Linked DNA regions of Daphnia pulex. The protein of the gene in region 3 interacts with the protein of the main gene of each other region in a pairwise test. Links are inferred from orthologs where the notes say so. Each region holds a gene or a part of one and is shown on either strand. Other genes may lie near its edges.

Region 1 (5,064 bases), on a different chromosome or scaffold from region 3:
TTATATAATTCATGGCGGTGCGTTCACATTCGAATCATCTGTCAAACCATCTGGCCGATTCTTGGCATCAAATTGTTTCAATGTCGTCTGCTAATTTTAGTGCCAGGGAATTATATTTGTAAGTGATTACATTTTTTCTTGTAAGTCTGAGCTGCGGTTGATCACGACGCTCGCACGTGGACGATCGATACACTTGGGGGAGAGACCCGTGTGTCGGTGTGTGTGTTGGCCGTCTGCATGTAATTCCTTGGGAAAATAAAATAAAAAAAGGGACATGCAATTTGCTGCGCCATTTTTGACCCGGAACTGACAAAAGACCCTGGGCAGCACAGCATAACATATCATCGCGTTTTGATTTCAACACACGAAATGCACAAGATAATATACTATATTCTTCCTATTTCTGTTTTCTTGAATGAATTCAAGACTAGAGATACTTTGATGACTTTAAGCCTAGCTCTCGTCTACTTTGATGCAATAACCCCCCCCCGAGCTCGCGGTGATGAAACGTGAAAAAAAGGGGAAATTGATGAGGGAATCGGACCAGATGCCAATGAAGTTCCCAAACGAACCCGGTCACCATGCAAGTCTTGTTTCCGGGCCGGCCGGCCTCTTGTGTGTCTATTTATTAGTTGCACATCTTTTTTTTTATTTCGGCTGGACACAGGTGTTATCATTCCCATCGAAAATTAGCTTCCGATTTCCATTTTTTCATTTTTCCATTTTTTAAACAAATGACAGATGAAATTTTTCGCCCAGAAATGTATATGTTTCAGAGTTGATGTATTCTTATACGACGGGCGCTGGAAGAGAGAGTAGTATCGATTATTTGATTCATTCTGTCTGGACCGTCGACTCTCTTGTTCATGTTTGACCGTTCCCAGACTGCTGCCAGGCTAGGACGACGTGAAGTAAAAACGAACCTGAAAAAAAAAAAGAAAAGAAAACAGAGCTGAGCAACGGACGCGAATGTTCTGGAGCTCACGCAACTTGACGGCGGCTGTGCTGCCACGTATAGGAGAGAAGGTTAAAAAGCCACAAGACGCAGATGTTTTTGTTTTATTTTCGGTCGAATAAAAGAGAATGGCTTCCGTGAGATAAGATCGATGGACCTCTTTCTGGCAGGGCGTCAGAAAAGTCTTGCGCAAATGAATTGAATAAATCAATTTAAATAAATAAAATAAAAAGCCGATCGGAGGAGGATTTGATTCAAAGTTTTTGGGGAAAATTAAAAACCCGCATGAGGGCATCATCCGTGCCCTCCGGCCAATTCGAAAAAAAGTAACACTATAGCGTAACGGGAAATTGATTATTTGGCGTGTATTCAATCTTACAATATCTCGCATTTTGAATTCATCCTAGAAGACGGGAAACATAAAATGGGAAACAACAACAAAAAGAAAGAAAGAAAGGATGAAGAGACACGTTGCACGCTAGTCAAATCGGGCAGGTAAGAAAAGAGGATAAAAACAGCTGTGAACAAAGTCAGAAGTGATGGCGCAAATAATAATAATAGGGTGGGAAAAAGACACCCAACAATTCAACGGTTGCTGCTGGAAGCGGAAATTAAATAAACTCGATTCCCTCGAATTTGAAATCGCCATCGATTTTAGTCTCGGGCAGCAGGATCGTTCCGTCAATGTCAAAGGCCATGATGTAGCTGGCTGTTTTGCCTTGGTTCTCTTCCGATTTGAGAGCCACTATCAGCCTGTCGTGTGTGTTGGGCACGAATTTGAAGCTGGAGAATCCGTGGGTGGGACTGATGTCGCCGATCCTCTTGGCCTGGTTATTGTTGGAACAAGGGTTTAATACTTTATTGACTTGGCCTACATATAGGAATGGGAAGAATGACAGCCCCCAGCTAACCTTGATATCGCTGAACTCCTCGTCGGCGGTGAGCATCAAATTCGAACCTCTCGATTCGTCCAGTTTCTCGTCATAACGATCTTTACTCTCCCGGCGGGGCAAGAAGAACCACCGCTTGTGGACAGAACTCCACGAAGCCGATTCGTGGATTATGTAGCCTTGGTGAAGTGGAAGCAATCAAATATTTGATGAATATCGATTCTAGTATATATACATTTTAGTATAGATAGTAGTTGATAATATACCTGGAAATGAAATGTCGACTGCTTTCGCCAGGGCTTCGTAGCGCGTGTGCCAATCAATATGAGAGACTTCACCCGTCGTGGTGACTTTCTTGATATATTGCGGGTGATAATTGACCAATTCACCTGTCGGAGTAGTCCAGGCTTTACCCAGACCACCGACGTAAAGGCTTTGATCCTTTACAGTCGCCCATTCACTCTTGAAGCCTAGACAATTTTTTGTTAAAGAGATAAACGTTACTATAACACGACGGAAGCTAGCAGTTGATTTTTGAAATATTACCCTTGGCAACGCGACCATGCCCATCGACCAAAAGTACCCAAGGATAGGCGAATTTCGAGGCGATATCAATTTGATAAATGGTTCCGGTTCTATCGTCGAAACCGAGAAGAGCACCATTAAACACAACCAGTTCTGACAACTCCATTCCTCTTCCTCCTTGAGCAAGGGTAGTTTTCAATGTCATAAGCTCATCCTGGTCCCACTCTAGTGAAACCTGCAGCAAGAAATTAAATGTAGGTAAAGCTTTGAAAACAAAATAGACAATGAATTACCTTATTTTTTTCAATATCTACAAAAAGTGCGCCTGTTTTTAAATAACTTATCCATTCATCTTCCTTTTTCGAGTTGGTGTCCAAATCAGATATTATGGCAATCTTGTAGCGTACACCCTTTTCTGTCCGTACAGGGGTGGTCAAGGGATAAGTGGAGTTGTAGTTGCTTTGTTTGGGCTCAGGTAAATTATGCTTGTGAAGGTGATCACTCTCGTAATTTGAAGGAATTCGTTTTTCCAGCATGTAAGAGTTGTGGGGCTTGCTGTGGGAGAACGAGTTGTAAAACATGACCAGTGCTATGACTCCGACAGCCAAAACTCCCATAACAAACTGGTACTGGAGTCGAACTGTGCTATTTCCGATGCGATAAGCAGTCGGAATCTGGATGGCTTGCCTCCAGTCCTGCATTCTGTCGGTTTTTTCCAAGCCTGGTTCGTTAACAGTAAGTTTGGTATATTCTACCATATCTCCTTACGATCCATTTAAGTTACTATAATATAAACTGTAATTAAATAACAAAGAACACGGCCAAAAGGCTGTTCGTTCTTATAACAACCAGACACTGTGTGTGGGAACTGGCAAAGTGTTTTGACACTTGACAGTTTGCCCACTCGACAATTTCCGAATTTCGATAGACTTTTTTTTGTACACGTGGCGTCTGCTATTATAATTACGTCGTCTGTCTCTAATCGTTCTGCAGTTTAGCAGAACTCGGAAGCAAGAATTACGAACTTTGTAATCTCTTCAAATTTCCAGTGACTATTAATTCCGATAGGTTTTAATTCGATTTTCGTTTCTGCCAAGTTCTTTTATTCATTTTTAATTCAAACGGATTTATGATAATTTACGTGACGTCTGCTACAGTACATAGATGTCACTCATGGGGGTGTTGTTTACACTCGACTGACTGACGGATTGACTGCGAGTGATTTTTTTATTAGATGGTCTCTATTCGGAGTTGTTAAATTGTTGTTATGGAGTTAATAAGTGAAAAACTATGCATTCCTCCATTGTATATTAGAAAAACACAACTTAAAGATGTATATATAGCAGCCTTACCCCAGAAATGGTGTTTGTAAGTACCTTACCATGAATCCAATGAAACTTTAAATTTTTCTTAAACTTCATACATTTGTTTGGCTCCTCTGCAGGTATATAAAGAAAAATTTAAAGCTACCAGATGAATTTGAAAATCATGCTACTTATTCTCCAGATGAAGTGCAGGCTTTTCTGTGGGACTCAGAATCTCTTATTAGCCCAGATTGGATATTAGTGTACATAAATGTTAGTAGACGATTTTTCATACATCTTTTCATTTCTATTAACACCTTGTTACTACCAACAGGTTATTCCTAAATGTAATCATCCAGTTCTATCCACATCCAGCATCCACCCAGACATGGGACTAGATGTGAAGGACCTCACCTACTCACAGTACCTTCACTATGTGTCTCAGACAAACTTCAAGAACCTGTGGAAAGAGTCACAGAAAAAGTTTCCAGAAGCGTACAGGCCTTTTGCCTTGAACAGAGGTCGGCGCAGCAATCCCAAAAATGCAAGCTGGCAGGAATCTCTTAGTTCACTGCTAGCGAGGGTGTTCAGCTGCCCCATAATTTCCTTGGAAAGTGGTTCAGTCCTCCATCCTACTAGCCAGTCACCGAGCTGTGTTTTGCAAGCGTTTGGAGTATTTGAATGTTCATCCAACTTTTTTGTGATCACAGAACACATTCCACACAGTGTGCACCAGTGCCTCAGTCTTAGTCCCTCGCTTCTAAGTTCAAATAGCGTGAAGCCCATGTTCTTGTTGTTTCAAATGTTGCACGCCGTCAAGGAGATGCAAGACCGATCCCTTTTTGTCGAAGGGGTTTCGTGGCAACATTTTTTCATCAACGAAAGTTTGAGTCTTAAAGTTCTTCCTGCACTAGCCTCTAGTTTGATTCCACTAGAACCCGTTCAGCCAACAAAACAGGAAGCTAGTCTTCAAGAACTGACAACGTCATGGGTATGTTTATCATCTACTGTTAACATTATCTGACGTTCGCATTTGCTTCAATGGTATTTTTCAAATCGTTATTAGGTTCGAGGTTGTCTATCAAATTACGACTACTTAATGGCCTTGAACGATCTGGCTGGTCGTCAAATTAATAATCCTTTCAATCATCCCGTTTTGCCTTGGATTTCTGATCTCAGTTCACCTTTCGGTAATTGGAGAGACTTGGCCAAGTCAAAGTTTCGACTGAACAAAGGTTATAATCTTATCATTGTTTCATTAAACGGTTAAATTTGATAGCTAAAAATCTTGTGATTTTATTTTATAGGTGATAGACAACTGGATCTGACATTTGATCCGACAACTTTTGAAGCACCGGAAGGAAAAGAAGACGTGTTACCTTCACAAGTT
Region 2 (4,856 bases), on a different chromosome or scaffold from region 3:
GTTTGACAAGTATCTGAGCGGATACGGGGCGAATCACGCCACCAGTGTCAACTGCTCTTTCTACGGACAAGGCAACGCCGGCCTGAGTCACGCTGGTGGCAGCAGCACCAATCATCACTTGAGCGACGGCCAGCAGTCGACGTCGGAACAGTTTGACGGCCACAAAGAGAACGGCGCCGGTCTCCACGCTACTAACGAATACATTTTGATGAAATCGGAGCCCATCTACGAAACCATTCCAGCGGCAGGCTCTAGTCTCAGTTCGGCTTTGGCTGACGTGCGCTCCGTCTATTACGATTGCTGAGTTATTATATTCTACCATCTACATTTAATATCGACTCGTATCGAGCACAAAAAACAAAACAAAAACAAAAAATTTACCGAAATTTCATCCCTTTTTAGTTGTACCATACGAACAGTAGCGCACACAATTCAGAGTTGAATTTATATACAGTAATTTCGCAATTTCCTAAACGACGTTTTCAAAGGGTAAACGTCGTAGTTGTGCGCCGTTTGCGCAGTAATCCGTAGTTAAAGAGAAATGTGTACCTATATAATATAATGCACTTAATATTTGTAACTTTTTGTAGCTCCGAAATATTTGAGAGTGAATTGGATGGCCGCCTTTATTTTTACCCCCGTGTGTTTCTTCTGTCTCTGTTATGTAAAAAAACAAAGAACAAATTTCCTGTCCGATTGTGTACATGTACTCCCTTCAACTCCTCACCGTCAGTTTACAGCACGCTACATACTATCGGCTTCTAAAAACCTCTTGGAAGAAAACATCGGCGCTATTTAGGTGATGGGCATCGGCGGAATGAGGAGAGAGAGAGAGAACAAATTTCCCGACCCCACGATTTGAATGCACCTATCTACGAAGACAAGAAAAAATAACAACAGCGAATTTACTCATCGTCGATAGCGAAAGAGAGTGCGTGCCGCGACGGCGGCGGGGTTATTTCATCGGTAACAATAAAAATGTGTGTGCAGAGACCCAACACTGCCTGGACGATCCGGGTGGCATGACTCGGACAAATTTCCCCCGAGAGTTCCCAACATTTAAGAAAGAATTACAATGCGCGACTGGTGAAAAGAGAATCATGGAAGAACAAAATGTACAAGTCATCATGAAATATCAGCTATATATATATACGTTCCGCATGAGAGCCCCATGAAAACGCTGAGAGCGTCGTCACTTTTCCGAACCCAATTCAGAGCATCACGGAACTGATACAGCGCGTCGAGAGCGCTTGTTTCCCCCCCCCCCCCATGTGTAGATCTACCAAAGTCCAAAGTTTACGTATCCTATCCATTGCGTCCGCCGAGTTTCCTTTCTACCATCCCACCCCTCATGTATTTCTTATTTTGTTTCCTCGACAGTAAAGTTTTCTTATTATAAAATAAAAAAAAAAAAAATTGGCAATCCTCCCCCGTATGAACACGATGAAATTGTTTTGATTTACTTGTTGGGCTTGATGACTAAATACACACAGATTTATTCGACTCTGATGGTATGGAAAGGCTTTTTCTTTTCAAGCTGGACTTGATCACATGTGTCTACTGAAAAAAGCATAATGAGTACGGACACTATTCATCCTATTGACGTGAAGTGCAATCACTCTTCATCCTCGTCGCTTTCAGGCACCACCTAATAAAATGCCGAATCACTAGGTTAGTGGGTGACGTATTAAAATCAATTATCGATTAATCGATTTACCTGTATGATGCCGGCCGATGTGGCATAGGCAATCATCGCGATGAAGGAAACTAGCGCAGCAATACTTATGTTCCGCAACTTGTTTGGAAAGTCAGTATCAGAATATGGAGCTTCTTGCTTAGCAGTTTGCTGTCGCTCTTTCTGTTCTTGCTCTAAAGCAGAAAGACAAAAAAAGAAGATGTATAAAGAATAGTCGCAGGAAACATTGAGAATTTAACTGTACCCTTGACTTCTTTCGGGAAAAATCGCTGCAATATACGTCCCACGAAGCGAGTGAGATTAGTACATGCTTTTAAGTGGTTTTGCAGAGCAGCACTGGGCAGGGGAGCTTTCAATAACGGAGCTAAGTGAGCAAATACTACAGCATCCAAAGACGAAGGCGATTGTCCAAAAAAATATTCTTTTTCACCAAGTTTAGTGGCTAAAAGGCTCAGACATTCTTCAGCTTGTCTATAAACCTGGCAAAAAATAAAGTCCCTGTTATACAAATAATACCAGTTTTAATTACGTCAAGTTTACTTACTGCTGTTTCAATGACAGAAAAATCCTCTTCTTCAGGATACAGTGAAACCATTAGTTGTTTAGCATGTTTTTCATATTGACCAGGATAATAGAAATTTAAAGGGAATGGTAAAAGCTTGGCATAAAGTGGACGACTGAACTCAACAAAATTTTTAGAATCAATCCACCACACAAATTGAAGTGCTGGAGCAAGCTTCTCATAAATGAGATGAGAGTATGCAAATGCTTCAGCACACTGTTTTGGAGATAGTTCAAAATCTGCAGTATGGTTCTAATTTTGAAAAACAAAAAATCTTTAATTTATAGATTAACAATTATATAAAAAATAGATTCCTATACATTCTTCCTGAGGTAAGCTGATATTTCACCAAATTTTGTCAGGCACTCATTCTCGTGTTGAAAAACTGGTAAAGAGCCAGTGGGTGTTCTTAAAGGATTATTGGTCGACTTCGTTACCAGCCGTGTTCCGGAGAATTTGGCATAGGTCTAACAAGAGTAAAAAAAAAAAAGAATGTGTTATCTAACGTGGATTTTTTGTTAAATTTTACCCTATTATTGTTTGCCTTACCATGACTTCTAAGCAATGAACGTCAATTGATGGTAGGCCCCATTCCCCTTTCCAAATATCAAGTTCCATGACTGGATGTGAAGCCATCACAAATATAGGAATGAATCCTTTAAATCCACAATTGTAACACGGGCTTTTTAAAAAAACAACATAAACAAAGTTACATGCTACAATCTCGGGATCTTGGCAAGTGCAAGCGTCTGCTAAGCTTACTTACTTTATAGATTAAGGGCCCAAGTATTCCTTTAAGAGTTGCGGCAAATTCTGAGCCATTTTGTCCTTCTCGCTAGCGCCTCTGGCGGAAAATATTTGAACGAATGATTATTAATTTAATTTTCTTTTTACAATAAACGAAAAATATTATGATTGGTACGGTTATATCTAACCCAAAAATTCAAAATTCAAATATGAAATGTTTAAAACAAAATTTTATGAAAACGTTACGCTGTATCAAGCGAAAGCGTCAGTGGTTTCGTCCTTGTAGAAAAATCCAATCTCTCGATGCACGCATGAGCTTCCCCTGCAACCCATACGCTCAAAAATATATAAAATAACAAGGAAAACCGTTTGATTTTCGAACGAACCCTCTAGTTCCTATCACTCTGAGTAGAAAATGCATTTTATCGGATGGTGGGTGGGGGACAGCTTCGTCTAGGATAGAATCCATATCGGAAAATGGGGTCGGAAATGCGGATGCGACATTGCGGCCGGCAGTCCCTCCCATTTTTAATCGAAGGGTTTCCCGAATTCACAATCGCGATCTATTCATTCATTTTCACATTTTAAGTTTTAAGTATTACATGGGCGGACCTATATACAGAGTAGCCTATTCAAATATGTTGAATAGCAGTTTTGGGGAATTGCCAATTTCCCATGTCTCATTTCATACTTCGTCCTTGTAAAACAAGATTCCCAGTGGTCATTTTACGTCACGACAACAAAATTCCAATCAGAGTTTTAGTTACACGTCTGCATTTTTTAGTCTTCAAGCATGAACATGAAACATGAATGCATGATATTTTAAACGTTAATTATTGAACTACATAAGCATAAGCCTTTCCACATGAACTGCCGGCAGCGAGCCTTTGGCTACTGCTTAGCTACATTTTCCGATCCATGTGTTGTTGGTTGTTGGTTTTTTCCATCCTTGCCCCAACAACCTTCAGAGAAAGTCTTGTCGCGTCTTGACTCTTCGTGCGTTGGCCTTCGCAGAAGACTCGCTGGTAAAAATCAACTGTTTGTTTCTTGTGCAACAACACCCATGAAAGACAAAACCTTGGGTTGACGTAGAATGAAGTAATTCCGTGAAAGTTTCACGAAATTTTGTATTAGTCATCCGTTCATTCATCACTAGCCATTCATAGAATCTGGATCTCTAAAAAAACACACTTAAAGCTGATCCAACCCTCCTTTCATAATTTTCTGACGTTTCTCATTAGGATTGACACTCCCAACTTTCTGCAGTGAAACATCAATATGGCAAATCCTAGATTTGCAACAGTGCTATTTGTCTTTATGGTTTTCTTTGTGGTTTGTTTACAGAATGGTAAGAAAAACAGTTTTTCCCATCAGTTATGCCTCTACTTATTTCTTACATCTTCTTTTAATTATCGCAATAACAGGTGATGGATATAAAATGTGCAAACGAAAAAGTATATTTGGAGTAAAAAGCTACTTCACATGTCCTGAACCCGGGCAAACTCCAGACATGGTACAGTTCTCCACTTAAATTCTGATGAACAACAAAACTAATTTTAACACATAGGTATTCTGTTGTGGAGATGATGATGACCTTGGAGGACAGTTCTGCTGCCGAGGTCTTACAATAGACAAGTTAGTAACTTTTTTTTACATGCTGTATGTTTACTTAAACTTTTTGTTAGTTTGATAATTGTGTGATGTCTTGATATAGTGAATCCTAATTCATAGTTTTTGTTTTTTTGTGTTATTAATTTCCATTGTGTGATGGAAATTTAAAAAATTATATTATTGGAATGGAACAAGTGCCCTGAGGAACCCTTTGCGAAGGTTAGCTTATGTTAAGATTTG
Region 3 (5,163 bases):
TTTTCAAATAGTTTCATGTCGACAAATTTCCGACGAATGATGGTTCGGTGTTGCACCCGGAGACGAAGATTCTCTCAAATGTGTGGCTGTCTCGTCCGCTGCTGTGAAGACGACGACGCCCACAACACTCGTCCAAACTCGGGTTCGTATTTTGTAGATAAGAGTTAAGACTAAAATGTCTTGATTGTTCAACGACATTTTTTTTATAATTAAATGTTTCTTTTTATTTATTTATTTATTTTTTAGTCATGTTTGAAATGAGCAATGGAACGGGACTTCGGAGACACGGGACACTTGGTCACACGTCGGCGTACTGCGTCTCGATAGCCACGACCGAAGCGACTTTAGCGACGGCCATTCCGCGCAACTCTCTCTACCAAGAACGGCCGGGGCTGTTTAGTACGGAAGACATTTGAGAGAAATAGAATTACACATTTTCGATGTATGATCTCAACGTTATATATATATATAGGGAGGATTTATTTTTGACGAAAATAAAGAGCCCCCGTTTCGATAACACGATATTCATCCCTCCCCCCCCCCTAACCCCACCTCCCCACTAATACTCATTACTGGTAAACCTGAAACCAAAAAATCTCGTTATTTCATGTCAGATATCACCATCTTGATATCGTCAATGTTTGAACGTGTTTCACTTCATTTTCGTCACGTTTCCATGTTGCACGTATTCATCTCTTTGTACGCGGATGAAGGAAAACAATACACACTATCTTTAATGTTATCTAATTTAAAAAAGAAAAAAAAAACTTGTCAAACTAACAACCAACCCGTTTTTGGGTTTTTTTTTTAAGAATTTTTACCTTTGTAACAAGTTGAAACAGTCAGAACCTGTTCATTCGCCCTATAAACAAAATCTTAATCTGATATTAACATGATATTAACAAGAAAGAATATCAATTACCTGAATAGTTGGAAGTTTTGAACTTGAATTAAGGCATTTCTAAAAATCTATGATACTTAATTGCTTCGGCCACTACATAGTTTATAACATGCACAATAAAAAACAATTTATTTGCTCTTTCCATCTCTGGCAAAAAGTTGAATCAGTGGAAAAATTGTTTTCTTGAACTGTAAAAAAACTAACGGCCCTGCAGTGTGAAACCGATTAAGAATGTTTCGACCGATTATTGTCAGAATTCAAATGCTTTAATCTATTCCCGCTGAATTGCCGTCGACTAATGTAATGGTAATTTTAATCTCGATTTCGAGCAAATATTGGTATGAAACGCAGAATATGTGATGCTCCATTTTTTCTTTTTACTCATTACCGCCTGCGTTTCTCATCAATTCGTACACATTCGTATGCATTTGAAGCAGGAATCGTTGAATACATATTACTATTACGTGCTTCACTGTATGATACTACCGACAGGTTGCAGTGATATAAAAAAAAACAATGAAAAATGGAGATGAAACATAGTGAAGAAGGGTTGAGTTAGGGGGGGGGGGATATCCTAGCAATAAACTGGGCCATCCAGTTGTTAGAACTGAGGTACTGAATTTTACTGAGGATCCTTGGCCTCCGGTTCAGAGGACGGGTCAAACGGATTGGGTCCACCTCCAGGTCCGCCCATCTGCCTCCTCAGTTGCTCGACCAATTCGGGATTGGTTGCCTGCATCTGATGAGCCAACTGCTGTCCACTGCCAAGAAGAAGGAAAAATATGTCGGCCGATCAGAATACATTCATCTCAATTTGTCTAAATGTGTATCTTACACTTGAAGCAGCGATTCCAGCCCACCACCTCCTTGTGCAGACCCAGTCATCATTTGATTCATCCTAAAAATAAATGAAATAAAATAAAATAATAAACAATGCAATTTTTGACATAAATATGAATACGTAGTATTTAATTTAAAATATCAGTTGAAGTCACGTCAAGATATATTTTCTTAAAAAAAATCACGGCAAAAGAGAAACTTACAGTTGCTGCATATTTGGATTGCTTAACATTTGCTGGGCCATAGACATCAAACCTAAAAAAAAAAAAATATTAAAAATTTAGCTCAATGAGCTACAAAGTTTAAAACATTTAACACACAATCTACCTGGATTGTTGAGCATAGCTCCCACATCAAGCCCTGGGATACCCATACCAGGACCCATGCCGGGAAGACGTTCAGCTCCGCCAGTCTGTTTAAGCTTTTCTTCGGCGATTTGAAGATTACTTTGGTAGCTTTCATTCTCTGGCTCCAGTTGAACAGCACGTTCATAGCACCTAACAGCATCACCATGTTGATTGAGACTTGCATGAGCCAAGCTAAACATAAAGAAGAATGTTTAAATGTTAATAGATTGAGCACAATTAGTAAAAATTAGTCAATGTTGAGTGAAACAGAAAAGTGGATTACCCCATTCGGCCATAAGCTTTGCTGTAGAGAGGATCAATAGTAATTGCTTTTTTACAATCATCAATGGCAGACTGATGCTGATTGAGCTTACTATGTGCTGCAGCTCTGTTGCAGAAATAGACTGCATTTCTCCCATCCAACTCAATGGCCCTAAAAACAAAGCATTAATTTAACATCAAAATACATTACAGATATTGAGAGCTTACTTTGAATAGCACACCAGAGCTTCAGTAAATTGCTCAGATTTCATCAGATTGTTTCCTTCATTTTTTAGTTTTTCAGCTTGAAGTTTGATGTCTTCGGGTACTTCAGCAGGAAAGGTTGGTATCTGAAGTCAAACAAGAGACTTGATAATAAATCATGTTAGATTGGAGTATTTAAAATATAAAACTCACTTCAGAAGCAACAGCATCATGAAAAATATCGAGCAAAGATTTGGAGACACTTAGAGATGTTGCGTCTTCAGGTGTCAGTTCAAAAGCAGTTTCTAAACACTGCACAGCAACCTCTAAACTTTCCTGCATATAGATTGTACAATAGTCAAACATTTAAAAATATAAGAACATGAAAATTTGGTGTTAAATCTACCTGAGCGTCAGGTGACAAGTTTCCGTATTGTTTTTGCTCAGCTAGAAATTGCACGATCGCCAGAGCTAGCCGCTTTACAGAGGACATTCTGAAAGATGTTTGGATCAAAACTGATACCTTTAGATTTTGATTCTTCACAGGAGTATTGACACTTGGCAATACCTTTAGCAAATCGACGGAATAAAAGTGACAGGACCAGTAAAATGTTGACACACGTGTCGAGTTTTTTCGTTCGTGTTCCTTTCACTTAGGATATGTAATACGACTACCGTGATGATTGGCGAAAATATTTTAGCAGGCGAACACGGACGGTTAAGCACCGTCCTCATAAGTTTAAGGCCAACCGACTCCATCCAGAGACTGGTAACTAGCGCTCGTATCCCTACCCTGCTCAACTAAATGCCAATGCAATACCAGAGGTCCAGAGCAGAGTAGTGGATTAAAGAATAATTTATGACCTCAAAGACTAACTGATGACTAGACTAAATTATGACTAACTGTATTCTAAGAAATGAATTTAGCAAGACGGACTATCCGAGAAATCTGACCGTGACACCCTCTTAGTTATTAGTTACCGACAAAATCCGCCGCGGACACCTGGCGCTTTTGAGTAGGCAATCTTCTGCAGCGGCGGATTTTGTCGATTGGACCCTAGAGGTTTGGACGTTAGTCGACAAACCCCTTGAATAACAATGTTTCACCAGCAATTTCAACAAATCTTAAATAAAAGATTAATTATAAAAAATAACGAAATTTTTGTGTAATGAATGATGGATTTTAGTGAATCTGCCACTCTGGTCACAGACTCGATTTGGTCATTAACTCGATTGATTTTGAGAAAAAACGGAAAAAGTGTAAAAAGATATGTTAATAGTCTCGCTCCCCCTCCTTACTTAATCGCCTGCTCCTCCTAATAGCTTCTTTCCAGGTAGACGTTAAGGTTAATGACGAAATTGTCTAATAGCGTTCGCAAATTCGTGGAGCCGCGCTATATAAGACGACGGCGAATGTCCAATCGACACCACAATCAGTTCATCTTCCACAGAAAAGATATCCACTCATCAGCAAACTCAATAGTAAGATACTAAGATTTTATTCAATAGCATTTAATTTAATTTGTAAAGTACCAAAGTTAAAAACAGATAAGATGATATCATTATTTTTTATTTCTCTTTTTGTAATAGATGGCTTCCTACGCCCCGATGCCTTATGCAGTCCCTCCCCCATCTTACGCTCCCCCATCTTATTACACAACTCCGTCTTATGGTGACGAATATGCTCCGATCCCTTTGACTCCGTTGGTCATCCCCGGCGATCCTCCTTCCGCCGGTGGAGGAGGTGGCGGTGGTCTGGTCACCAAGTTCTTGGCGTTGCCACTCATATTCGTTCTTCCCGTTTTACTTCCCATCATTGCAGTGGTTGTTGTTGTACTGGGAGGAGGTGGCGGAGGAGGTGGTGGAGGCAGACGACCGCTTCCTTTAGCTTCAAACGACACTGACATCTACGAAACAACTCCTTACTACGACGACAGCGCCTACGGAAACGACTACCAAGATGAAAACGAATACAACAAATTAAATCAAGACAGCCAGGATCGCAAGCGTCGTCAAGTGGAGAAGAACAAGAACATTTCCACCGCTGTTCCAGCGATGAGCATCGCCCAAGTCGAACGACTGACCCAAGTTGTTTACGCCGCAATCAACTCGCAGGAATGCATCCAGCGTCTCCTGTGTGAAGTTGGATCCTTGTCCCGCTCCTTCTCCAAAACAATTCAAACGGTAACCAAAGCTGTCGAGGATTATGTTCCTGAAAAGCTCAAAGATTCCTACCACGTCCTCACCAAAGTACAAAAATGCGAACAGTTTCAATGTGGATCCCTTAAAGTCAAGAAGTAACTCCCCTGATTATAAGTGCAATACAAAACTTTTTGTTTATTTAAAACTTGATTTGACTTGATGCTTATTTGCAATTCTTTGTGTGTTTTTGTGGAATAATACATCAGTGGGTCCGTAACCGAAAGTCGAATATCCGATAGAAGTTTTTTTCGAAACAGCATAATTGAATATACAAATTGCAGAATCGGATTATGTTGAGGGGATGCAGATGTAATATATTCATCTATTACTAGCAGTCGCTAGATGGAGTAGGTTCGACCATCCCAACTTTAAAACTCTGACGTAACCATAACCATACCTAACTTCTAT
Region 4 (4,241 bases), on a different chromosome or scaffold from region 3:
AAGAGGAACTTGCAATGTATGCAATGCCCCAAGGTTTGGAGAAGTGGAAGAACGAACAGGTAATTCCAATGGACAAGACATTTGGAAATGTGTCTTATCCTAACTGTGAATGTGTGTAGGTTATGGAGGAGGCTACAATGAACGTGGAACAGTAGAGTATAAAGAAAGAGAAGAGTCAGATGATGAATTTGATGAATTCGGACGTATCAAGAAAAAGTTCAGGAAAAATGATGTGGTAGGTTCTGTAAACTTAAACTTTAAAAGTAAGTTTTGATTGAAAGCTTTTTTTGTTGTCACGTTAGAACTCTGATGAGTTACCTTCAACATCACGTGAACCAAAAACATTAGACGACGAGGAGGAGGATGAGGAAGAAGATGATGATGATGGAGATTTATCAAAATACGATCTTAGTGGTTGGGGTGACGAAAGTAACGAGAATCCCGAAGAAAAGAAATCATCACCTGTCAACGATGCTCCAGTAAAATCAGAAAATGGCAGCAAATCCAGCGGAGTGCGTCACTCTGAAAAGTATTGAGTTATCTTTTACCACTATTGAATTGAGCTCATGCTGTTTACATTTTGGCAGATCCAGGTCTCCCGGTCGTTCCAGGTCGTCTTCTCGTGATCGATCCGGTTCTAGGTCAAGGTAACACCCGGTAGCGACAATTTGGCTATCGGGCAAACAACTTTTGTTTTTCTGTTGATTCCAAAACACCTCCAAAATTATTTTTGAACGGCTAAACTATCATTCTTGTCAATGTGGTTGAGGTAACCGCTTGTAAGGTCCGTATCTAGTTCGAACCCAAACGGTTATTCGAAACAATTGTCCACACACGTGTTTTTTTTATCGACCGAAATTTTGAGATTACGTAGAAATTTCTCCACTTTAGCAGGAGCAGAAGGTCAGATAAACGCAGTGATCGCCGCCGACGCCGTTCAAGATCTTCAAGCGACCGTTCTAGAAGCCGTTCTCGGTCCAGGTTTGGTTTGCCAATCAAGGGCTTTCATTTTTAGTTGCTTCACAAACAGAACAATCGTCAAACATGTTGATTAACTATTGCGAATATTGAGACAAGTTCCTCTTCTTGTATACTAGGTCTCGTTCTAGAAGCCGCAGACGTCGCTAAACTTCTTCAACTTTACTCAAAAGCAATTTGAGTTGATGATCAACTGCATCGCTTGCAAAATTACCCTTTTACACCCATAATAGATTTTGATAGTAACATTATCTTCACCTTTTCCTGCAATTTATTTTCTCATGGCAGAAAAATAAACAATTACTTCCAAACTTTGCATTTCTTATGCCTCCAGTTTCGTCTTTGTTGTCACGGCGTAGTATAACACACCAAATGCAACAATAACAGCAGCTAATTCAGAGTTGATCCACGGTCCAGTGTAGGCACCCTGAAATGAAATCACGACTCGTTTAGTTTAGAAAATCAGATAAGATTTAAGGTTTCTTTAGCTTACGGGATGGTACAGGACCACAACACCGACAGTTGGAACAGCGGAGGTGTCTTCACCGTTGCGTTGAGCCTAAAAGATGAATGAGTTAATTTTCAGGTAGGAAGTAGGGGTTCGACTAATGAATATTATTTACCTTGCGAACGGCAGCGTAACCTTCATCATCGTAGACTTTGATTTCAAAGTTTCCACGGGGAGCTTTCTTGGTTTCCTCCAACCAGCTGACAACATATTCGTTGGTTTCCTTGCTCTTTACAACAGACAAGGGTTTGCCACCAACCTCGGCATACAGTGGGATATCCTGTATATTTGGTAAAGCTTGTGAAATTTCAGTTAATTTAATAAAAACAGGAATGTCTTACAGCAGGCTCTCCATCGCAGCTCAGTTTAAACTGGGAGACATAGGCGATATTTGTGAGAATGGTGCCATCGAGAGTGGTGAAAGATGTGGAGGTCAAACTTGGACTTGAGCAGGAGGAAGCTGAAAATAATGAAATAGATAATCAGATTTGTTTCACACTATTACAATTAATTGAGAACTCATGTATCTTCCCCTAAATAATATAACATACAACTAATTTGGTTTAAATACTTGGTGTCCCCATTTCAAGTTCTTTGCCCCGTTACTGAGATCCCAAAATTCATACTAAAAACAAATCAGCTTTTCTTTAATAGAGTTAATTAAAATCCTGTTTCTGAAAACTTATATAGTATCTAAATAGAGTTGCAATATGGGAAGATAATCACAAATTTCTTATTTTCCAGACCGGCTTCGAAACTATCCATGGACGGTTTAAATAGGAAGGCTACTCCGAAAATAATGATTGTTACAAAAATAGATACCTGAGACAGCGGAGAAACAAACGGCGATGGAAAACACGACCAACAATTTGCAAGACATGATGGGATTCAAAAGGATTGCGAATGGACAGTGGTTGTTACAAATTTTCGTTGGTTTTTGACAGCAACTGGATGGTTTAATTTTTGGCCACCAGAGGCGTATAGGCCACGTTTGATGATGTTTACGTGTGCTGCCAGATTTGTTTGTCTAGATTTCACTCAAATTGATTTAATTTCAATAAAACATTAAAATAATTAGATAAAATGAAGAATAATCTTCTGATAATTAAAAAAATTAACATTGCAGTTAATGTCTCTGTTTGACAAAGTAAAATAAAAAGATTGGCACGTCGTCCATTCCCGCCATCTAGCGAAGAAACGAACAATCCTTCGTGACAACAACAACAACAAAAAACACCGTGAGTCCGTGACCGCTTATGAACCTAATAAATAATGATAAACATTAGCATAAAAATATAGTAAAAAGAACTATATTATTCCCGCAGCATAATGAATAAATAATGAACGCACGAAACAAAACATATCACGGAGCAGCAGATGTTTCACCAAAACAGCAGAGTGACATTGAACTTGGCAGCCATATGAATAAATTCTTAATTCCCCGAATTTTTGCTTCGGATCAAATACCTTCCGTCAACGTAAATATAAACACAGCCGTTGCCATTATTCCGTCTAGAATTATCGTCACAGCGCAAACCGGAATGAAGAGATTCAAATTTTCCGCCAACGACGAAAGGTCACAACCGTCAAATTGTTTCGGTGGTGGTGGGAAGAATTTCATGTCAAAAGAAAAATGAACATGTTGAGGCATGAGGGGGTTATTTCAACAAAAGCTTCTTTTCTTTTCTTCATGTTTATTACATACAATATCAAAAGGTACTATTAAGTAAAAGAGTCAAGTAAAACTCGTGTGCTTTTCTTGCGAGCCCATTCTTGTCCGCCCTGGGTACGTATCATTTCATGGCCGCCCACCACAAACGGGCGAATTCAAAAGATATTGCCCGTTCGTGAGAGTGTATATCCCGCGCCGCCACACGAGAGGCGGGACTACCGGCTCTACTATATATATATATGACTCGATTTGGTGAATTTCTCCATCTATAAACAAGATACACACACACACGCACAATGGTCGGTTCCCAGTGAGTAAACACGTTTTTCTTTCTTCACATTTTCACGAGGAATGCGCCGTCGAAGAATCGGGAAGAAGAAAAAAATTCCACGAAATAAAACGCAGACGAGCGGAACAATTTTTGTTTTTTATTTAAACTCTCACACGCAATCATCATTTATCGATTACACCGAGAGGGAGGAGGATTGAGAGGGGGGGCGCTGAGCGAAACAACACGTCAATCGGTTGTAGAATCGAAATGGCGGGACCGAGCGCTAGCCAATAGCACGCGGGAGAAGAAAACGAAACAAAAATTAGAGACAAAAAAACAAAAACGCGCACACACAGACACAAAATCAGAACACGATCATTTTCCATCATTTCGTGGGACAACAAAACATGGGAAGAAAAAAAACAAAAATTTAAGGAGTGACACACATTTTGCAATTGAAACCGATTGAAACATGATCGGGAGAGACCAACATTATTTTTCTTCTTTCTTTTGTTTTTCTGAAAGAAAACACACACACAAAAATATTGGAAAAAGAAAAGAAAAAAAAAAAACATAATTTCTTTGCACCCCATTCTTAAACCACCCCCCAATATAACAGACGACACGACACACACGACCAAATGTCGGGGATATAAATTTTTTTTTTGTTTTAGTATAGCCCGCGCAACTCACGATATGTTCTTGATTCCTTGGTTACGGGCTGTGTGTCTATGTGTGTGTCTATCTTACACACACACACACACACAATTTCTTTTATTATTTGATTTCTTCTTTTTTTCAAAACTTTTCTT

Evidence for each region.
Region 1: the proteins of small glutamine-rich tetratricopeptide repeat-containing protein beta-like (region 3) and soluble calcium-activated nucleotidase 1-like interact in a two-hybrid assay, tested with the Caenorhabditis elegans proteins (2 studies listed by BioGRID). The link is inferred for Daphnia pulex from reciprocal best matches to the Caenorhabditis elegans genes sgt-1 and apy-1.
Region 2: the proteins of small glutamine-rich tetratricopeptide repeat-containing protein beta-like (region 3) and metaxin-1-like interact in a two-hybrid assay, tested with the Caenorhabditis elegans proteins (2 studies listed by BioGRID). The link is inferred for Daphnia pulex from reciprocal best matches to the Caenorhabditis elegans genes sgt-1 and mtx-1.
Region 4: the proteins of small glutamine-rich tetratricopeptide repeat-containing protein beta-like (region 3) and translocon-associated protein subunit delta-like interact in a two-hybrid assay, tested with the Caenorhabditis elegans proteins (2 studies listed by BioGRID). The link is inferred for Daphnia pulex from reciprocal best matches to the Caenorhabditis elegans genes sgt-1 and trap-4.

Annotation. Positions count from the first base shown.
Region 1 is NC_060023.1:1,872,349-1,877,412, reverse strand, and holds soluble calcium-activated nucleotidase 1-like, read right to left. Parts: upstream 3,130-5,064; 5' UTR 3,129-3,129; coding exon 2,664-3,128; intron 2,606-2,663; coding exon 2,392-2,605; intron 2,316-2,391; coding exon 2,112-2,315; intron 2,025-2,111; coding exon 1,867-2,024; intron 1,783-1,866; coding exon 1,567-1,782; 3' UTR 1,306-1,566; downstream 1-1,305. Other genes in the region: WD repeat-containing protein 81-like, read left to right, coding at 3,638-3,738, 3,815-3,947, 4,009-4,665, 4,741-4,909, 4,982-5,064. UniProt on the Caenorhabditis elegans protein: Hydrolyzes UDP and to a lesser extent GDP. By preventing the accumulation of NDP, may promote the reglucosylation of incompletely folded glycoproteins in the endoplasmic reticulum following the unfolded protein response.
Region 2 is NC_060018.1:1,525,765-1,530,620, forward strand, and holds metaxin-1-like, read right to left. Parts: upstream 3,022-4,856; 5' UTR 2,895-3,021; coding exon 2,808-2,894; intron 2,726-2,807; coding exon 2,579-2,725; intron 2,511-2,578; coding exon 2,241-2,510; intron 2,176-2,240; coding exon 1,941-2,175; intron 1,873-1,940; coding exon 1,718-1,872; intron 1,649-1,717; coding exon 1,616-1,648; 3' UTR 1,473-1,615; downstream 1-1,472. Other genes in the region: repressor of filamentous growth 1-like, read left to right, coding at 1-304; protein shisa-4-like, read left to right, coding at 4,284-4,353, 4,430-4,518, 4,573-4,640, 4,812-4,835.
Region 3 is NC_060019.1:12,396,088-12,401,250, reverse strand, and holds small glutamine-rich tetratricopeptide repeat-containing protein beta-like, read right to left. Parts: upstream 3,284-5,163; 5' UTR 3,122-3,283; intron 3,070-3,121; exon of another isoform or gene 3,048-3,069; 5' UTR 3,047-3,047; coding exon 2,960-3,046; intron 2,890-2,959; coding exon 2,767-2,889; intron 2,700-2,766; coding exon 2,578-2,699; intron 2,522-2,577; coding exon 2,372-2,521; intron 2,281-2,371; coding exon 2,069-2,280; intron 1,997-2,068; coding exon 1,945-1,996; intron 1,800-1,944; coding exon 1,737-1,799; intron 1,663-1,736; coding exon 1,524-1,662; 3' UTR 1,259-1,523; downstream 1-1,258. Other genes in the region: galanin receptor type 2-like, read left to right, coding at 12-142, 247-416; uncharacterized protein LOC124190023, read left to right, coding at 3,904-4,035, 4,144-4,854.
Region 4 is NC_060026.1:14,622,948-14,627,188, forward strand, and holds translocon-associated protein subunit delta-like, read right to left. Parts: upstream 2,473-4,241; 5' UTR 2,367-2,472; coding exon 2,309-2,366; intron 1,947-2,308; coding exon 1,828-1,946; intron 1,767-1,827; coding exon 1,602-1,766; intron 1,538-1,601; coding exon 1,472-1,537; intron 1,406-1,471; coding exon 1,301-1,405; 3' UTR 1,232-1,300; downstream 1-1,231. Other genes in the region: zinc finger Ran-binding domain-containing protein 2-like, read left to right, coding at 1-59, 120-235, 303-529, 588-647, 892-1,015.